Caenorhabditis elegans: one gene and its partners. The protein of the gene in region 1 purifies or fractionates together with the protein of each later gene. This does not show direct contact. Each region holds a gene or a part of one and is shown in the gene's direction. Other genes may lie near its edges. The genes, in order: aldo-1, gdh-1, pyp-1 and aco-1.

Region 1 (3,883 bases):
AGCTTTTCGATAATCGAGTTTTTCAAAACAGTTTGTTGCTTTTTTTTTGGAATTGCTTAAATTTTCAGCTAATTGAGAATACGCTTGGTTAAAATTTTAAAACTTTTTACATTCCAAAAGCTTCTAAAACTTGCCAGTAACAACTTTTTCTCAATTCCGAGCTACGGTTTTCCCGCATTTTTCAAACATCTTTTTTTTTTAAGTTCCCAATATTTTTTTTTCAAAGATTTTGACAAAAACCATTTTTTCCGGCAAATTGCCGAAATTGAAATTTCCGGATCCCCTCTGATTCAAACTCTGAAAATTAGAAGAATATATATGTTAGTCGTGATAAGATGTTGCTTTTATAGATTTTGCAAGGCATTCTACCTAAATTTCCAATGGTTAAGTTTTCTTTGTGCACATTCAAATTCTGGGTCCATGAAGAAAAAAAAACAATTTCATAACCCTTCTACGTTTTCTCTAAACTCTCACTATTCGCACAATTGCATCATGCCTCCTCCATATTGCCATCTCACGCAAAAAAGCACATAGCCATTCTCAAAATATCTTTTTCACATCACGTCGTTTTCTATTCGCTGTCTTTTTTGTTGTACCCATGTTATAGTTTTGACATAGAAGCTCATTTTATTTACAAAAATGAATACATAGATGTATTGCTTGTTTTACATAAGATCCTCTTCTTGTTTTTTTTTGTCATGATTTGTCGTAGATTTTGAATTGTTTTATTAGTACGTGCCTCGCATGTTCTCGTACTTATAGTAGCCTTATAGGTCTTACGAGAATGCCCAGGGAATAAACAGAGCAGGGGTATACGGCAAATTTGCCAAATTTGCCGTTTGCTGAGCTCGGTAACTTTGCTGAATTTGCCGAGCAAGACAAATTTCAAAAAAGTAGATTTGTTAAATTTTCCGAGCTCTGCAAATTTCGATATTTGCCGCACATGCCAAAGTTTTGACATTACAACTTTGACCAAAACCATTGGTTTTGTCCCCAAAAATTGAGTAAAATGACACAAAATTGAGTTATTTTGATAATTAATACAGAGCGAGTTACGGAATATGGCAAACGAAAATGCAGTTTACTCTAGTTTTTTTTTAAATATAACTATGTGGTCTAAACCCTATAATATTGGAAAACTAGGTAAATTGTGTTTTTATCGTAGGGGCAAGTTGGCTCATTTTCGAATTAAAAAAAAAAAACAAAATGTGCCAAGTAGGGTCGATTCCTCTGAAAAACGATTGCATCATTCCAAATTTCGTAATCTCTTTTACATTATTTCAATTTCAGACTACTCCAATGAGTCCTAAACTAGGCTCGAGCTCATAGCCCGGCTGCTCTAAGTACGCCAGAGGCATATGTCTGAAAAGCAATTTCAACTTTCATATCTTCATATCTCCGCACGCTTCCGTGAACCAAATCAAATCAAATCCTCCAACGTTGAAAAGTTCAAGACTTTGGCAATTCCTGCTCCTCTCGCTTCTTCAAACTATTTCTCACGTTCTGCTCCAACAGCAGTTCTTCTTCTTTTACTTCTCACAAAATTTCGTGCAAATCACGTAGGGCCCCTCAATTCCCTCTCGCCACTCTGCACGGCTTCTCACACACTCTTGCTCTCTCGCCAGGGGCTCTCCGTCTCCCTTCTCGGCGGTGCCATCGATTCGTTTGGCGCGAGAGAGAAAGCTCCGGCTCTTTTCACTTTTATCAGCGGCCCTTGTTTTTCACCGACTTCACTCTTGCACATTTTCAGGCAACTTCATTTTCTAAAATGGCTTCTTACTCGCAATTCTTGACCAAGGCCCAGGAGGACGAACTCCGCTCCATCGCCAACGCCATCGTCACCCCAGGAAAGGGAATTCTCGGTAAGTAACGATATTAAATTTGGGAAACAAAATTTGGCATTTTGTGTGTTACAAATCTAATCTCTAATCTCTCCAATCTCCCTGAAATTCGAATTTGCAGCCGCCGATGAGTCCACCGGATCCATGGACAAGCGTCTTAACAGCATCGGACTCGAGAACACCGAGGAGAACCGCCGCAAGTATCGTCAACTTCTGTTTACCGCCGGAGCCGACCTCAACAAGTACATCTCGGGAGTCATCATGTTCCACGAGACATTCTACCAAAAGACCGACGACGGAAAGCCATTCACTGCTCTTCTCCAGGAGCAAGGAATCATTCCAGGAATCAAGGTTGACAAGGGTGTCGTCCCAATGGCCGGAACCATCGGAGAGGGAACCACTCAGGGATTGGATGACTTGAATGCTCGTTGCGCTCAATACAAGAAAGACGGAGCACAGTTCGCCAAGTGGAGATGCGTGCACAAGATCTCATCTACGACTCCATCAGTGACTGCTCTTAAGGAAATTGCCTCCAACTTGGCTCGCTATGCTTCAATTTGCCAACAAAATGGACTTGTACCAATTGTTGAGCCAGAGGTAATTACCGAGAGTCGAGAGCCGAGAGTCGCACAGCACTGGTACCTACCCACCTAAGTTCCTTTTGGGGGGATGTAGTCGTAGATCGGCTTGAATGTAATACTTAGAACGGTTTTCACAGAAAATTTTAATATTCGATGCAAAACCCAAGTTAATGCCACGTCCGTTACTTGGGTCTCGCAGCAGTTTTTTTTTTGTAAAAAAAATATAATTGGCACTCTAATTAGTTATCATTTCAGATCCTCCCAGACGGTGAACACTGCTTGGCTCGCGGACAGAAGATCACCGAGACCGTGCTCTCATATGTGTACCACGCTCTCAACGAGCATCACGTCTTCCTCGAGGGAACCCTCCTCAAGCCAAACATGGTCACCTCCGGACAATCATTCACCGGCGAGAAGCCATCGAATGCCGATATCGGACTCGCCACCGTCACCGCCCTCCAACGCGGAGTCCCATCCGCCGTTCCAGGAGTCGTCTTCCTCTCCGGTGGACAATCCGAAGAGGATGCCACATTGAACTTGAACGCCATCAATCAAGTGAGCGGAAAGAAGCCATGGGCCCTCACATTCTCCTATGGACGTGCTCTTCAAGCCTCCTGTCTCGCCAAGTGGGCCGGAAAGGACGAGAACATCGCAGCCGCCCAAGAAGTCCTGCTCCATCGTGCTCAGGTCAACTCCCTTGCCTCTGTCGGAAAATACACCGGGGATGCTTCAGCTGACGCAGCCGCTTCCCAATCCCTCTTCGTCGCCAATCATTCTTATTAAATGGCCACGCTCAGGATCTCTTTTTTCTCATTTTTTAAAACTATTCAACGCACGTAGAATTATGTGTCTGTATACCCCTTTAATTGTCATTATTTGCTTCTCTAAGTCTCTTCGGATTTAATAAATCTTTGGTAGATACGAATGCACAATTAAAGAGAGATGTATCTTTGGAACATTTGATTCAAGCAGACAGACAATTGAGCGATGGCTCGTCGCGATGCATTCATAGTGATGACGTCAAGATGTCTTCTACTACTCACTATTCCTTGTAGGTTTATGTGTCTGCTCAATTGTTGAGAACAGAAGGTGCCTAGTGTAAGTGCGAGAGAACAATTTCCCAGTGGAGCCGTTTAACCTTGGGCAGGTGCGATGCACATTTTCAGATCGATATCTAACCAGTTGCACACTATTCGCAACGCATTACAGCCATTCATTTGTCCATTGCAATGTACTACCGCGAAGTGAGAGGATCTGAGATCTTCTATACCAAGTACTATGGTCCGCCAACTGAAAAGGATACCTTGGCTGCCAAGAACCCTTTTGAAATGTAAGTGTTTTTAAAACTAAATTTTCTAAATTTCCAATAGTAAATGTGTTACACCCTGTCGTTGGATTGTTTTTGTTTTCCAAGTTGTTTGATCTTCAGAAATCGACTAACCGAGATTTTTAAAAGTCAAA
Region 2 (4,814 bases), on another chromosome or scaffold:
GCCCTCTAGCCATGGGTCTCGTTAGGTTTCTGGAGACAAAACCGTAAATTCAAACCTTTTCAATTCGTTCTGCAGACTTCACCAATTTACAGGTTTTCCGCCAAAATCAAAAACCTACCGAGACCCAACGTTTTGTGGCGGGGCGTTTTTGCACCTTGATTTCAAAAGGGGCATTTTTTGCGTCCCCAATAATCAGCATGTTTGAAAACCAAAACGATTAATTGCGCAATGGTCATTTAGACTTTTTTCAAATTTTCAGGTGTGTCTCTCCTCGAGAACAATGTATCAAATCCGAGTTGTGTTGTATGAGATGCAAAACGACGAACTGATATACCTGAAGGAAACGAAATTCGACGAAATGATATTCATCACTTGCACTGAATATCGTGGACAAGTCAATCGTGAATTGAAGAAGAGTATGAATCGTTTCTCAAGAAAAAGAAAGTATGAAATCAGTGGAACAAAGTGCCAGCGTTCGAAACGTCCAGCAAAACTTCCTGTCGAATCTCTAGATGAGAAGGAACTAAAAAATGCTGAAAAGGGAATCATGAGTTTGCTTGAATCATCACCTTCGTCACCATCGTACCTTTATCAATATCAATACAATTCTCCACAATCAATACCATCTTCTATTTATGACTCTCTCTACCCATCGTCTCCAGAAGAATATCAGATGGTTCATACTTTTCCACAAACAGACCAATTATCTCCTAGTTTTCAAACTTCGCCCACAGTCCATTATGATTTTTATAATCAGCAATATTATGACAATTCATTTCATGAAAACTATTTCCAGTCATACAATCGGTTATAACTTTCGATTTATGCTTATGTCTAGATTTATCCGGTTTCAAATTACTAACCTGTTTTTCTTTTTTATCACAACTAACAAGCTCACGTTTTATCATTCTTGAAATTTTTTCAATAAATAATGAAAATAAAATCAAAAGTGTAGAATTTGTTCTTAAAGGCGCATGAATTCATTCCAATGGGTCTCGTCGGGAGAAAAAGTTTATGGTAGCGCGTCTTGGTGCTCGGATTTTTTAATTATTTTTTTTCCATTTTAAAAATATTTTATGCTCTATGTTTGGTTATGGAAGCGACCACCGAAAAAGCCACATTCTTCAAAAATTTCTGTCAAATCTCTGGGGGAGAAATAAAATTTAAAAATCGGTTGTCTTATTCTGAAGATTATTTACGAAGAATCAAAGATGTCGATCAGTAAAACAAATCGAAAGAGAAACAAAAACAAAACTGGTATTCAAAATTCGTTGAATGAGATTTTTGACGCGAATTTAGCGAGACACTGTCTCGATTCTTTCTCAGATGACGTCGATTGACCCTGCTTCTTTTGTTTTGTTGCTATGCAGATCGTATGTCCTATGCAATAGCACCACACAATATGGGCGAAGATCAATGACACTCGTCCCACTCTTCTTTTTTCCTTCTTCAAATAGGCGGAGCATCTTTTCTCTATTTTTCCCCCGAATGTTGCCTCTATTTCTCTCTTTCTCTAAATATCTATTTGCCAGTCACCTCCTCCTCCTCCTCCATGAAACGCTATCTTTTGCTTGCAGTTTCATCGGTCTCGCCCACCGATGATGGTTGCGCGTTGTCCTGTAAACAGTTTTGTGTTGGGCTCCTCTAGTTTTGAATAGTTATGGCGCCCGCGTCCCCAGGACGAGCTTTTCGTGGCCTAGAAGCGTTTGCCTACTCGCGGGCGGTGCCACATTTTTTTTAGGAAAAAAGGTTTTGATGCCTCTGCCAATTTTTTTTGATTTAAATATTTTTAAACGAGCTATAACTTAAATAATTTCAAACTGCCGCTGAAAATTATTAAAGGCGCATGGATTTCGTGACGAGACCTCCTGGCATTTTCCTTACTTTTCGATTCCGCCCGGATCTTTTCCTCCTTTTTGCACTTTGGCTTCTTATGTAAAATCTCTTATTTGTTTAAATTTTAATTACAAAATATTTTATTTTCAGGTAATGTTGAGCACTCTTTCCAGAGGCGCCCGCTCGGTCGCTGTCCGAAGCTATTCGGCCGCTACTCTCGATGCCCACTCCCAGGTGCTCGACGAGCAGAAGCCAATGGAGGAGCAGGTCAACCCATCTTTCTACAAGATGGTCGACTTTTACTTCAACAAGGGAGCCGAGGTCATCGCTCCAAAACTCGCCGAGGAGCTCAAGTCCAACTCTTTGAGCCAAAAGGATAAGAAGAATCTCGTGTCCGGAATTCTTGGAGCTATCAAGCCAGTTAACAAGGTAAGAATTTTGAGTCTCATTAATTTATCATATTTTATTTTCTTCAGGTCCTTTACATCACCTTCCCAATCCGTCGTGACAATGGAGAGTTCGAGGTTATTGAGGCCTGGCGCGCACAGCATTCTGAGCACAGAACTCCAACCAAGGGAGGTATCCGTTATTCCCTCGATGTGTGCGAAGATGAGGTCAAAGCTTTGTCTGCTCTTATGACTTACAAGTGCGCTGTTGTCGATGTTCCATTCGGAGGAGCTAAGGGAGGAGTCAAGATTGATCCAAAGCAATACACTGATTATGAAATTGAGAAGATCACCCGCCGTATCGCTATCGAATTCGCAAAGAAGGGATTCCTCGGCCCCGGAGTTGATGTCCCAGCCCCAGATATGGGAACCGGAGAGCGTGAAATGGGATGGATCGCTGATACCTACGCCCAAACCATTGGACATTTGGACAGAGTGAGTATAAATTTTTTGTGAGCATGTGAATAATTTTGTTTGCAGGATGCTTCGGCTTGTATCACAGGAAAGCCAATTGTCAGTGGAGGAATTCACGGACGTGTTTCCGCCACCGGACGTGGAGTGTGGAAGGGACTCGAGGTGTTCACCAACGATGCTGATTACATGAAGATGGTCGGTCTTGACACCGGACTCGCTGGAAAGACTGCTATCATCCAAGGATTCGGAAACGTCGGACTTCACACCCACAGATACCTCCACCGTGCTGGATCAAAGGTCATCGGAATCCAGGAGTACGATTGCGCCGTCTACAACCCAGATGGTATTCATCCAAAGGAGCTCGAAGATTGGAAGGACGCCAATGGAACTATCAAGAACTTCCCAGGAGCCAAGAACTTCGACCCATTCACTGAGCTTATGTACGAGAAGTGCGATATCTTCGTTCCAGCTGCTTGCGAAAAGTCGATCCACAAGGAAAATGCTAGCCGCATTCAAGCTAAGATCATCGCCGAGGCTGCCAACGGACCAACTACCCCAGCTGCTGACAGAATTCTTCTTGCTCGTGGAGATTGCCTCATCATCCCAGACATGTACGTCAACTCTGGTGGAGTTACTGTTTCCTACTTCGAGTGGTTGAAGAATCTTAACCATGTTTCCTACGGACGTCTTACATTCAAATATGACGAGGAAGCCAACAAGATGCTTTTGGGTAAGTAAATTTTCGAAATTTGAATTCCTAGACTTGCGTAGAGTAACACAATGAAACGATTTGCAAGTTTTCATCTGTGATAAAATTTTGTTTAGAAACTAACAAGGGCTAGATACTCTTACGCTTGTCACACTTTTCCGTTTATTTTATGAGGAGGGAGAGGAGGCCACTCAACCGTTGTCGTGAAAATGAGTACGTATGCACTCTAGGAAACAAATTGTAAATCAATTCTTTCTGTTTAAAAATGTTTGAATTTTCAGCCTCGGTCCAAGAATCTCTCTCCAAGGCCGTCGGAAAGGATTGCCCAGTTGAACCAAATGCTGCTTTCGCTGCCAAGATCGCTGGAGCTTCCGAGAAAGACATCGTTCACTCTGGACTCGAGTACACAATGCAACGCTCCGGAGAAGCCATCATCCGCACCGCTCACAAGTACAACCTTGGACTTGATATCCGTACTGCTGCCTATGCCAACTCCATCGAGAAGGTCTACAACACCTACAGAACCGCTGGATTCACCTTCACATAAGTACCCACTTCTCACTCATCTCATGGCTCTTGTATCCTCTTTTATGACATCAAATGGCTCCAAGCCAGGTTTAAATAGCTTCGTGTAACCCTTTAGTGCCTTTTCCATAGTTTTCTGTTTCGAAACTATCTAGGTTAACTAAAGTCTAGCTCTGATCTTTTCTGCCTGGTTCGTTCTCACTTTAGTATAATTAAATATTTTATTGGTTCCCCACCCCTTTTCATCCCCACACATAATTTTTTCGTTGTTTGTTGGTTCGGGACGGTTTCGAGACGGAGACCATTCTTCAAAAAAAAATCTCAAAAATAATAAAAAGTTTATTTCCTTAAACACTTCTACATGGTCATTGCAATTTTCCAATGATCATTGGAAAAGAAATTTCAGGGAGCATTAAAAACTTTATCAGACTTGTGTCTTTCTATTTACTATAATTTAGAATTTTCGATAACATATCACTTTCACATTGTGTGCCACTATCAGCTTCAAATTTGGGAATCACCTCCACAATTGTTGCAAAATTTTCGAATTGTCTAAACGAAGTTGATGCTTGGCCGTTTCCATATCAGTTGATCTTTTCCGGCAAAACCTTCGTCGTCAAACTGATGCAATTCCTGGAGAGAATGAAAAGAAATGTTGAAAGATTAAATTGGGTGATCGTTTGAACGAAGCTAATCTGATTGGACAAAAAGAAGAAATGATAAAAGATGATAAAGACAGTTTGGAGGGAATCCCCCATTTCGGTTCGAAGTGTACGCAAATGTTTGAGGGAAATATTTAGAATTGGAGATTTTTTTGAATTTTTGCAGTTACAGAGAAATTTTGGAATGTGCATATCGTGTAGTTTCACAGATTTTAATAGCAT
Region 3 (4,719 bases), on another chromosome or scaffold:
GAATATTGCTGATCTAGGAATTCTTACTTACAATTAGAAAAGTAATTTCAGGGTCACATATTTCCAATATCCCCGCTGTTCAATCTGCCTCCTACTCCGCCATCTCAATATGATCCACCTCTCAAACCATTGCCACGTACCAACTCATCATTTTGCGAAACTGCCACAGACTTCACTTTTGGAACCCCACCACTTCGTCATTCTCAAATGCGTGAATTGTTCAAAGTTATTGGAGTTGATTCGGTTCTTCACGATTGGTTATAATTTATTTGTACTATTGCATATCTGATTTCTTGTTGCCTTATATTTTATGTGGTTTTAGTTCTGTGATAGCAATATTTTTTTTCCGGTTAGCATTAAAATATATGAATTTCAATGATCTAGAAATAAATCAAAAGAAGATAGAATAATGAAATCATATGTTTACATTCTACTAAAATCAATAAGAGTTTAAGTTTTACCAACAATTATGACACATCGTTTGTGATTTGTAATCAGTGTAATACAATGGCGAATGGAGAAACCGAGAGGTATTGATAAGAGAAGACTGCTCACAGAGCAAAAACAAGTCCAAGCGGTTTTCAATATTAGATTCTCCTCCCAGAAGTGTTCTTTGATTGATCTTTCAGTGATGGTCGTTTCTTGATGGGCCTCGTGTTGATCGCCAAACGAAACAAGCCGCTGATCGCGATGATGGCTGCTATACTTTTCACAGTCGCTGTATTTTTGGCTACGAGGTTTGTTGCATTCGACTGTTCCTATTTGGTGGTTTTCAAATGCAAATTAATATTTAGCATATTTTCTCAACTGTCTGGGATTTTTATTTTATTTTTATGCGTTCAGACTTAAATATTTCACTGTTACCGTAGCTGAGGGTTGCGTCTGCATTTTCATGTAGTTTGTGGTGTGATGTGTGTGTACACTGCTATATTTTCGTAGGCCTATTTTTTACAAATTGCTGCGCTGGCAATGCTATTCTTGTTTTGTTTTTATCTTAATCAAATTTTTAGTTATTTTTTATACATATTAATTCTCAAAAATGTATTCAGTATTTGTAAAATTATCTGCTAAGAGTGATTAAATACATTGATCAATACTGAGTGGAGTTATTTATTAGGAACATCAACGATTAATTTTATTTTTTCTGCGTTTTTCAAGCTACATATTATTGCGATAAGGAAATTGAAAATGCATGTCTTCCATAACTTTTATCCGTGCCATTGAACAAGAAGCCATTTATCACCAAACATGCGAAGAGCCTTTTAGACAAGAAAATTAGCTTGTGCAAATTTATTTTAAACCTCTATTGAGTTGATGTTATCTATATTGAGATGTTCAAAAATTTCATGACTGAAATTAGGATTTCTTTTGGGCCCAGGTGAGAGTTTTTTATGCTGATTGTTTTGAGCCACAGGGTTTAGATAATCGTTGAATGATATTATCCTGCCTTATGTTTCAATTTTCAATTTAATCTTGCTTCTATCATGACGACATAACCAAATCCACACATATCACCAACTGCTTGAAAATGTGCATGCGCCACAGCGTCTCTCGTGTTTTCCGCATATATCTCACAAATGTCTGTAGTTGTCCTCATCTCTTCCTAGATGATACTGAGCTGTCGAAGTGTGGCCACGGCGAGAGGATTTTTGTTATCAACTCGTCTTATTATGGGCTGTGCCGTGAGCCAAGAAAGCGCCATCGCCACTGTCTCGTCATCTTCAAACACTGCAACAACATCCACCAGCAGTTCAAATACTTCACAGAAATGGGCCACTTCAAGGACATCGCGTCCAGTTACAAACGTCACACAGGCAAGACTGATGAGTATTGTTCTAGTTTTATTTTGGTTATGTGTAGGTTTCTGCGATTCACACCACTTCAATGGATTCCGGCAGCTCAACTGTCCAATTACCTTCTCCTCGTGGCAGTCTTACCACAGCCGTCTCCACCTCTTCTTCGGGAGCTCAACGACAAATGTCAGCCAATTCGGAGAGGAGTCTGCACACGAGGTTGCGTGTTGATGTTTCTTCCTTCTTGTGTCTGTGTCGTTTTTAAGGGAGGATAACGTTTTATATAATCCTTATTGATGTTTTCTATCACTTTCTAATAACTCACATCCATTGGTAGAGCGGAAAAGAAAAGAAAACAATTATTTAATCTAAATCTGGGTCATGCTCGAATCGCTGCTAGATCTTATATTGAGAAAAAACGTAGTTTAAAAATATTTAACCCTTCTCCAAAACTTCAGTTTGTCCAGCAGCCCCTTGTAGATGAAGTGTAGGCGTACTAAACTTTACCCCGTCACCTCACATTGCAAACGGGCGGTGTCAGCTGATAAGACTAGTCCGTCACCAAATGCTCAAAGAATAAAGAAATGTTGCCTATAATTATGTAACATACTTTTCAAAGATGCCAGTACACATGCTTATAAAATGACACTTTGTGTTTGGAAATTTATTTTCAAGTTGCTTTATTGTCTTTATTTGAATTCGCATTTTAAATTCTGGCGTATTTTTTTTTTAAACTTTTAACGTGAAAACTTTTGCAAATCCACGTTTTAATAGTTTCGAGTGGCAAAATGTTTAAAGATTAGTTTAACAAAAACCTTGTGAAAAATGTTCTCTTGGCTCTTTTGCGGTCGTTGTTTCCGAAACCCAAACAAGTTTGTTATACTTATAATTGGCTGTTATGAGTGTAGAAGTGTTTTCATGATAGCATCTAATTCCACTCGCAAACACATGTAGTTTTCAATATTCGCATTATTATTATTTTTCAGGCCCTTGTCGGAGACTGCTGTCATTTTGCAAAGTCAAGCTGTGAAAATGAGCACCGGAGCCGGAGATTCAGCAGTTTACGAAGCCGTCGAGCGTGGATCTCTTTATAGTTTGGATTATAGAGTTTATATCAGTGAGTCGAAGCTGCTATAATTATTGGTTCTAATATCTATTTTGCAGAGGGACCACAAGGAATCGTATCTCCTTGGCACGATATTCCATTGTTCGCCAACAAGGACAAGAGAGTTTACAACATGATTGTTGAGATTCCACGTTGGACAAATGCTAAAATGGAAATGGCCACCAAGGAACCATTCTCGCCAATCAAGCAAGATGAGAAGAAGGGTGTAGCTCGCTTTGTTCACAACATTTTCCCACACAAAGGATACATCTGGAACTACGGAGCTCTTCCACAGACATGGGAAGATCCAAACCATGTTGTTCCTGACACTGGAGCTAAAGGAGACAATGATCCAATTGATGTTATTGAAGTTGGATCAAAGGTTGCCGGACGGGGAGCTGTTCTGCAAGTAAAAGTTCTCGGAACATTGGCTCTCATTGACGAAGGAGAGACCGATTGGAAATTGGTCGCAATTGATGTCAACGATGAGAATGCTGACAAGTTGAATGACATTGATGACGTCGAAAAGGTTTATCCTGGACTATTGGCTGTAAGTTTCGATTAAACATTTTTCAAAATACGTTTCATTTTTTTTCTTTCAGGCATCTGTTGAATGGTTCCGCAATTACAAGATTCCAGCAGGAAAACCAGCCAACGAGTTCGCTTTTAATGGAGAGTTCAAGAACCGAGAATACGCGGAGAAAGTCATCGATGAGACCAACGAATATTGGAAGACTCTCATCAAGGAAGCAAACCCATCCTTGAACACGTAGGGATTTCATCGCTTTTAATATTCTAAACTTCAAATTTCAGAGTCTCTCGGGTTCCAGAAGCTGTTCACCAAGGAACTGATGAAGCGGCCGCAACTGCCATTGGCGCTACCCCAGAACATGGAGCAAATGCTCCACTACCAGGAGATGTTGATAAGTGGCATTTTGTGCAAGGATGACTAGTACGCCCTGGAAGCCGTGAAGCATCTTCAAAACTTTAAATTTATTGCACTGTCGCTCCCTGAAATTATACTGACTCCCTCATTCTCTTGTTTTGTTCCAACGTATTTGATTATTTGATTCCTTTAATTTTATATTGTTTTTTTCATTATTCGAAAAACTTTTAAAAATTGAATTGGGGATCTTCTCTGTTTATGTATGTGATGTTTTCTTTTTGGTTTACCACCATACGTGAATTATTTGTCAAATCCAAACAGATCTTTTAAATTCAAAGTTCCTTTGGAAAAAGCAGTGAGCAGAGTCAGCACGAACTCGATAAACAGAAGAAACAATTTAAATTTTGAAAATGCTGATTTCAAACATATACGAACGAACTTTTAAAAATACATTAGAAATATCGAGAAATTTCTTTCGCAAAAAAGGAACACAAACACTACGAGACGACGATAGCGATGTTTTTATGTCAAAGAAGAAAAATGCAAAAGCGCTCTATTTTACTGCTAATATTTCTATGAGAAACTTGGCGCCATTTTCCACTTATGTTCCTTTTTCTTCATTTCGCAAGCGCGCCACTTTTTTCAAATGAAAATCAATAATTTCATCCTTCTAGAATCTTCCACAAACAGTTTGTTTCGCATTTTTTCGAAACGTGCAGTGGTTAAAAATCATTCGCTTTTCAATCTCAATTCTCGCCGAAAGCTCATCATCAGATTCTTCTCTTTTAAGCCACCATTATTCGAACTGCATCAGTTTTCATCAATTAAAAACTATTTTCAGTGGTTCTGATCTTTCGTGATTAATGACTACCATCCTTGAGCTAACATCGGCCAACAAAACTAACAACAAGGCCACCAATAACAAGCTGCAGCGT
Region 4 (5,603 bases), on another chromosome or scaffold:
AACAAGCCGAGTTTTTTTTTTGGTAGTTTTCAGAATTTTTAACAGTGTTATTCATTTACCAAGTGTACTCCCTATTAGTTATACAGTGTGTAATTTTCTTGCATTTCTAAGAGTCATCCTAATATTAGAACTTCAATCAGTATTTCAATAATTCGGGACAAGACAAGGCGTACCTTGTAGAATTTTCAGATAATTCTTCAATTCCTGAAAAAATAAACCTAGACTTGTTCAAAACGTTTACACATGTTAGCACTTGTCTTGCTTTTTACAACTTAAAAGGCTACTAGAGGTAATACGGGGAATGATTGTGAGACCAATTTTAATAAAATACGTTTCTATGAATCTCAACTTGGGATCAAATAAAAATATATATGCAAAGTCTTTCTGAATAAAACATGGTTATACAATGATACGCGGTAAACTATGAAAAACGGTAATTGTAATATTATGAACCAGCCGTGGTCCGCACCTTCGGCGCGGCCCCCGACTTCTAGGGCTGAAAATCAATTTTTATGAAACTACCGTAACCCTACAGTATTCCTACCGTACCACTATTGTACCACTACAGTACCCCGACTATATCCCTACACTAACCCCAACTCACTATCCCTCCAGAAGTCAAAACTTCACAGACTACAAAGACTACATAGACTACAAACTATGGACACACAGAATAAGCGCTTTATATTATATATAGTAAATTATCATGAAGAACAGAGACATATGAAACAAAAATATCAATCAAAAAACCAACCAGCTTGTGCTCAAACATCTTCTGTTTTTTTAACTTAGTAAATTTTAGTCACGCTAACAGAAATTCCGTACTCTATGAATTTTGTGAACTACAGATTCTAGTGATTCTAGATTCTAGTGTATTAGTTTAGTTATAGCATGGATTCGATTGCATTTTTTCAAATGTTTTTTTTTTTGAAAAATAAAACGAATTTTTGCTCTTCAGTTTCCCAAAGGAATTTCCACCTCACCATCAATCTGTGCAAAGTTCTCCCACTTGATAATCTTTTTTAAATGATCTGATATCAATGATAACAAAAGATAAAAAATATCGGACACAAATCTCTGAATTTTCTTTTTATCTCTCAATATGTCTGAGAGCGCATTGTTTCAATTCTCAAAAAAACCACACTGCAACATTGTCGTAACCTCTTGGGTCAAGTACGCAACGTGTATGCAGATCGGCCCTCTTCTTCTCTTCCCACCGCACACTATTTCACTGTGCACATTTACCTTTTTTGACTGTTTCTTGAGTTCTGAGATGGTATCGTTTTTTCTCGCCGCCTTTTTTCTCGACATTAGCCTTCTAGAAACACTGGACAACGACGCAATTTCGTCCTAGCTGATATGAAAGATGACTATCTTCGACCGACCTTGGCACACACACACACATACACAACATACACAAAACGCTCTCACATTCAATACAGCCACACACACTAAGCGCGCTCAGACACACACAAAAACGGACAGGTCGACTACACCGATTCGGCACGCCTCCATTAGTTTTCCTCGCATTCTCTTTTTCATTACAATGCACTTTTGTCGTTCTTTTCTATCGAAATCCTTTTTTTTTTAAATTTTTTCCATATCTAACTTTCCAGATATGGCTTTCAACAACCTTATCCGCAACTTGGCTATCGGAGATAACGTCTACAAATACTTTGACTTGAATGGTCTCAATGATGCTCGTTACAGTAAGTATAACTATTTTACATCCTATTCTCAATCTATCTAAAATATATCTGCATATATTCAATTTTGGAACTTTTGTAAACGAAAAAAAAAACAGCGAATTTCGACGAGCAAGAATAAATTCATTATGTTAAAGTCATATATAAATCATTTTCTTTAAAAACCTTCCCAAAATTTTCAGACGAGCTTCCAATCTCCATCAAGTACTTGTTGGAAGCCGCAGTTCGTCATTGCGATGAGTTCCATGTATTGAAGAAGGACGTGGAAACCATTCTTGATTGGAAAAACAGCCAGCGTAACCAAGCTGAGATTCCTTTCAAACCAGCACGCGTTATTCTCCAAGATTTTACGTGAGCTTGAAAATAAATTACCAAATTTATGTACATCAAGCAATTTTCAGTGGAGTTCCAGCCGTCGTAGATCTTGCCGCTATGCGTGACGCCGTTCAAAATATGGGTGCTGACCCGGCCAAGATCAACCCAGTATGCCCAGTTGACCTTGTCATCGATCACTCCGTGCAAGTCGATCACTACGGAAAGTACGTTCTGCGCAACCTGGTTTATACATTTATTGTATTTTTTTCAGCCTTGAAGCCCTTGCCAAGAATCAGTCCATTGAGTTTGAGCGAAACAGAGAACGCTTCAACTTTTTGAAGGTAAGGAAAGGTGAAAATGCCACTTTCAGAGTTTCACTGTCACGTTTTACTCTCCCCATCACTTTTCGGAAAATCACGCTATGCATTTGATTGCCCTTATCACTACTTTGTTCAATGAACACACAAATATTCAGATAGCTTAAATGAAATTGTATTATCAAATTATTTTCAGTGGGGATCCAAAGCTTTCGACAATCTTCTTATTGTACCGCCAGGATCTGGAATCGTCCATCAGGTTAATCTTGAATATCTTGCCAGAACAGTGTTTGTTGGAAAGGATGGCGTTCTCTACCCTGACTCCGTCGTTGGAACCGACTCCCACACCACAATGATTGATGGAAGTGGTGTTCTTGGATGGGGTGTTGGAGGAATTGAAGCTGAAGCTGTGATGCTCGGACAGCCAATTTCCATGGTTATTCCAGAAGTTATTGGATACGAATTGGTTGGAACTCTCAGTGATACCGTTACCAGTACCGACTTGGTTCTTACAATCACAAAGAACCTTCGTGATCTCGGAGTTGTTGGAAAGTTTGTTGAGTTCTTTGGAACTGGAGTTGCATCGCTCTCCATCGCCGATCGTGCAACAATTGCTAACATGTGCCCCGAATATGGAGCAACAATTGGATTCTTCCCAGTCGATAGCCGTACCATTGACTACCTCACTCAAACCGGACGTGATACCGATTATACTCAACGCGTGGAACAATACCTCAAGTCTGTTGGCATGTTCGTCAATTTCACCGATGACTCCTACCGCCCAACATACACTACCACTTTGAAATTGGACCTTGGAAGTGTAGTGCCAAGTGTCTCCGGACCTAAGCGTCCACATGACAGAGTTGAGCTTGCTTCTCTGGCTCAAGATTTCTCCAAAGGGCTCACTGATAAGATCTCCTTCAAAGCTTTTGGCCTTAAACCAGAAGATGCCACTAAATCTGTCACAATTACCAACCACGGAAGAACCGCAGAGCTTACTCACGGGTAAGACTATAAATTAGAAGTACATGCAAAAAATAATGTTTCTTCCAGATCCGTAGTTATTGCTGCCATCACATCCTGCACAAACACCAGTAACCCAAGTGTCATGCTCGCAGCTGGATTGGTTGCCAAGAAGGCTGTTGAGTTGGGATTGAATGTCCAACCATATGTGAAAACATCCCTCTCTCCAGGATCAGGAGTCGTCACAAAATACCTGGAAGCATCTGGTCTTCTTCCATACCTTGAGAAGATTGGATTTAATATTGCTGGATATGGTTGCATGACATGCATCGGAAACTCTGGGCCACTTGATGAGCCAGTAACAAAGGCCATCGAAGAGGTATTGTTGAAACTACTGTTTTCTTTTCAAAATAATTGTTTATTCAGAATAACCTTGTCGTTGCCGGAGTTCTCTCTGGAAATAGAAACTTTGAAGGAAGAATTCACCCACATGTTCGTGCTAACTATTTGGCATCTCCACCTTTGGCTGTTCTTTACTCGATCATCGGAAACGTCAATGTTGACATTAACGGAGTTCTTGCTGTTACTCCTGACGGAAAGGAAATCCGACTAGCCGACATTTGGCCAACCAGAAAAGAAGTTGCCAAGTTTGAGGAGGAATTCGTGAAGCCACAATTCTTCCGCGAGGTGTACGCTAACATTGAGCTTGGATCCACGGAGTGGCAACAATTGGAGTGCCCGGCTGTCAAGCTTTACCCATGGGACGATGCCTCTACTTACATCAAGAAGGTTCCATTCTTTGATGGAATGACTAGCGAGCTTCCATCACAATCCGATATTGTAAACGCACACGTTTTGTTGAATCTCGGTGACTCGGTAACCACTGATCATATTTCTCCAGCTGGATCAATCTCGAAGACCTCTCCCGCCGCCAGATTCCTTGCTGGACGTGGAGTAACGCCAAGAGATTTCAACACTTATGGAGCTCGCCGTGGTAACGATGAGGTAAGAGTTTATTCATTCAATATATGATTTTCTAAAAACTTTGAATTTAACAACACATCACGTTTTTTTTTAAATTTCAGATCATGGCTCGTGGAACATTCGCCAACATTCGTCTTGTTAATAAGCTTGCGTCGAAGGTTGGTCCTATTACACTCCATGTGCCATCTGGAGAAGAGCTCGACATCTTTGACGCTGCTCAAAAGTACAAGGATGCCGGAATTCCAGCCATCATTCTTGCTGGAAAAGAATATGGATGTGGCTCATCTCGCGATTGGGCTGCAAAGGGGCCATTCCTCCAAGGAGTCAAGGCTGTTATCGCTGAAAGCTTCGAAAGAATTCATCGTTCCAACCTGATTGGAATGGGCATTATTCCATTCCAATATCAAGCTGGTCAAAACGCTGATAGTCTCGGACTTACTGGAAAAGAACAATTCTCAATTGGAGTTCCAGACGATTTGAAGCCAGGACAGCTCATTGATGTGAATGTATCCAATGGTTCAGTTTTCCAAGTCATCTGTAGATTTGACACTGAAGTCGAACTCACCTATTACCGCAACGGAGGAATCCTCCAATACATGATCAGAAAGTTGATCCAATAAACTGTTATTTTAGCTTAAATTTTTGAAAGTCAATTTTTTCTATTTTTAGATAACTATTTACTTTTCGATGCATCAATCCTTCTCTATTTTCTGTGATATTTTATGAACATGTTTGAAGTCCAATAAATTTGTGATTTGGAGCAACGAAATAAATCAATACTTTTTATAATTGGGCTATAAAACATGTGGATGGTCAAATTTATTTTAGTTTTGGCGTCTCTGTTTTGCTAAAACCACTTAAATTCGTAATATTTTACTAAAACTCAACAAATAACGTATTTCTACTATTTATAGGAGAAAGAAATGTGCTTCCAGTTTGACAGTGTTTAGGATATAACATTTTGCAACTTTTTCTTAAAGGTCGTCATCACTAATTGTATTTTTTGTTCTCTCAGTCATAAGAGTATAAATAAATAAGAAAACATCTTCATTGAGAACAACAAAATTGGGTGTAAAAGCTCAAACATTCTAGTTGTTTGAACAAAATGAACAGAGAGATTACGGTATTTATTTGTACTGAACTGACTTTTTATAGACTAACATTTCAGCAGTTCATTCGTACTATTCAGTCCCATTTAAAAGTGCACACTCACCCAATAAAATCTCAGTTGCCCTATAGCTAACATCACTAAAGTAATATGAGACCCTTGCCAGCGCAAAAGATATTTTTATTTCAAAATAAGTAAATTTTGCATAAC

Evidence for each region.
Region 2: the proteins of aldo-1 (region 1) and gdh-1 fractionate together in Caenorhabditis elegans (co-fractionation; one large-scale study listed by BioGRID). This does not show direct contact.
Region 3: the proteins of aldo-1 (region 1) and pyp-1 fractionate together in Caenorhabditis elegans (co-fractionation; one large-scale study listed by BioGRID). This does not show direct contact.
Region 4: the proteins of aldo-1 (region 1) and aco-1 fractionate together in Caenorhabditis elegans (co-fractionation; one large-scale study listed by BioGRID). This does not show direct contact.

Annotation. Positions count from the first base shown.
Region 1 is NC_003281.10:13,562,805-13,566,687, reverse strand, and holds aldo-1 (Fructose-bisphosphate aldolase 1), read left to right. Parts: upstream 1-1,750; 5' UTR 1,751-1,768; coding exon 1,769-1,862; intron 1,863-1,962; coding exon 1,963-2,438; intron 2,439-2,677; coding exon 2,678-3,205; 3' UTR 3,206-3,342; downstream 3,343-3,883. Other genes in the region: T05D4.2 (F-box associated domain-containing protein), read left to right, coding at 3,652-3,752. UniProt on the Caenorhabditis elegans protein: May be involved in the metabolism of fructose-bisphosphate (beta-D-fructose 1,6-bisphosphate) and of fructose 1-phosphate.
Region 2 is NC_003282.8:11,951,263-11,956,076, forward strand, and holds gdh-1 (Glutamate dehydrogenase), read left to right. Parts: upstream 1-1,986; 5' UTR 1,987-1,989; coding exon 1,990-2,265; intron 2,266-2,312; coding exon 2,313-2,717; intron 2,718-2,762; coding exon 2,763-3,426; intron 3,427-3,686; coding exon 3,687-3,952; 3' UTR 3,953-4,279; downstream 4,280-4,814. Other genes in the region: tbx-36 (Putative T-box protein 36), read left to right, coding at 260-814.
Region 3 is NC_003282.8:9,994,852-9,999,570, reverse strand, and holds pyp-1 (Inorganic pyrophosphatase 1), read left to right. Parts: upstream 1-1,607; coding exon 1,608-1,814; intron 1,815-1,860; coding exon 1,861-2,012; intron 2,013-2,779; coding exon 2,780-2,910; intron 2,911-2,957; coding exon 2,958-3,448; intron 3,449-3,500; coding exon 3,501-3,667; intron 3,668-3,711; coding exon 3,712-3,847; 3' UTR 3,848-4,186; downstream 4,187-4,719. Other genes in the region: C47E12.3 (alpha-1,2-Mannosidase), read left to right, coding at 52-264; uba-1 (E1 ubiquitin-activating enzyme), read left to right, coding at 4,648-4,719. UniProt on the Caenorhabditis elegans protein: Catalyzes the hydrolysis of inorganic pyrophosphate (PPi) forming two phosphate ions. Plays a role in intestinal development and subsequent normal secretory, digestive and absorption functions. Required for larval development.
Region 4 is NC_003284.9:11,338,258-11,343,860, forward strand, and holds aco-1 (Cytoplasmic aconitate hydratase), read left to right. Parts: upstream 1-1,616; 5' UTR 1,617-1,618; coding exon 1,619-1,709; intron 1,710-1,888; coding exon 1,889-2,057; intron 2,058-2,107; coding exon 2,108-2,245; intron 2,246-2,292; coding exon 2,293-2,362; intron 2,363-2,534; coding exon 2,535-3,343; intron 3,344-3,391; coding exon 3,392-3,680; intron 3,681-3,727; coding exon 3,728-4,306; intron 4,307-4,386; coding exon 4,387-4,905; 3' UTR 4,906-5,070; downstream 5,071-5,603. UniProt on the Caenorhabditis elegans protein: Catalyzes the isomerization of citrate to isocitrate via cis-aconitate. Has probably no RNA-binding activity.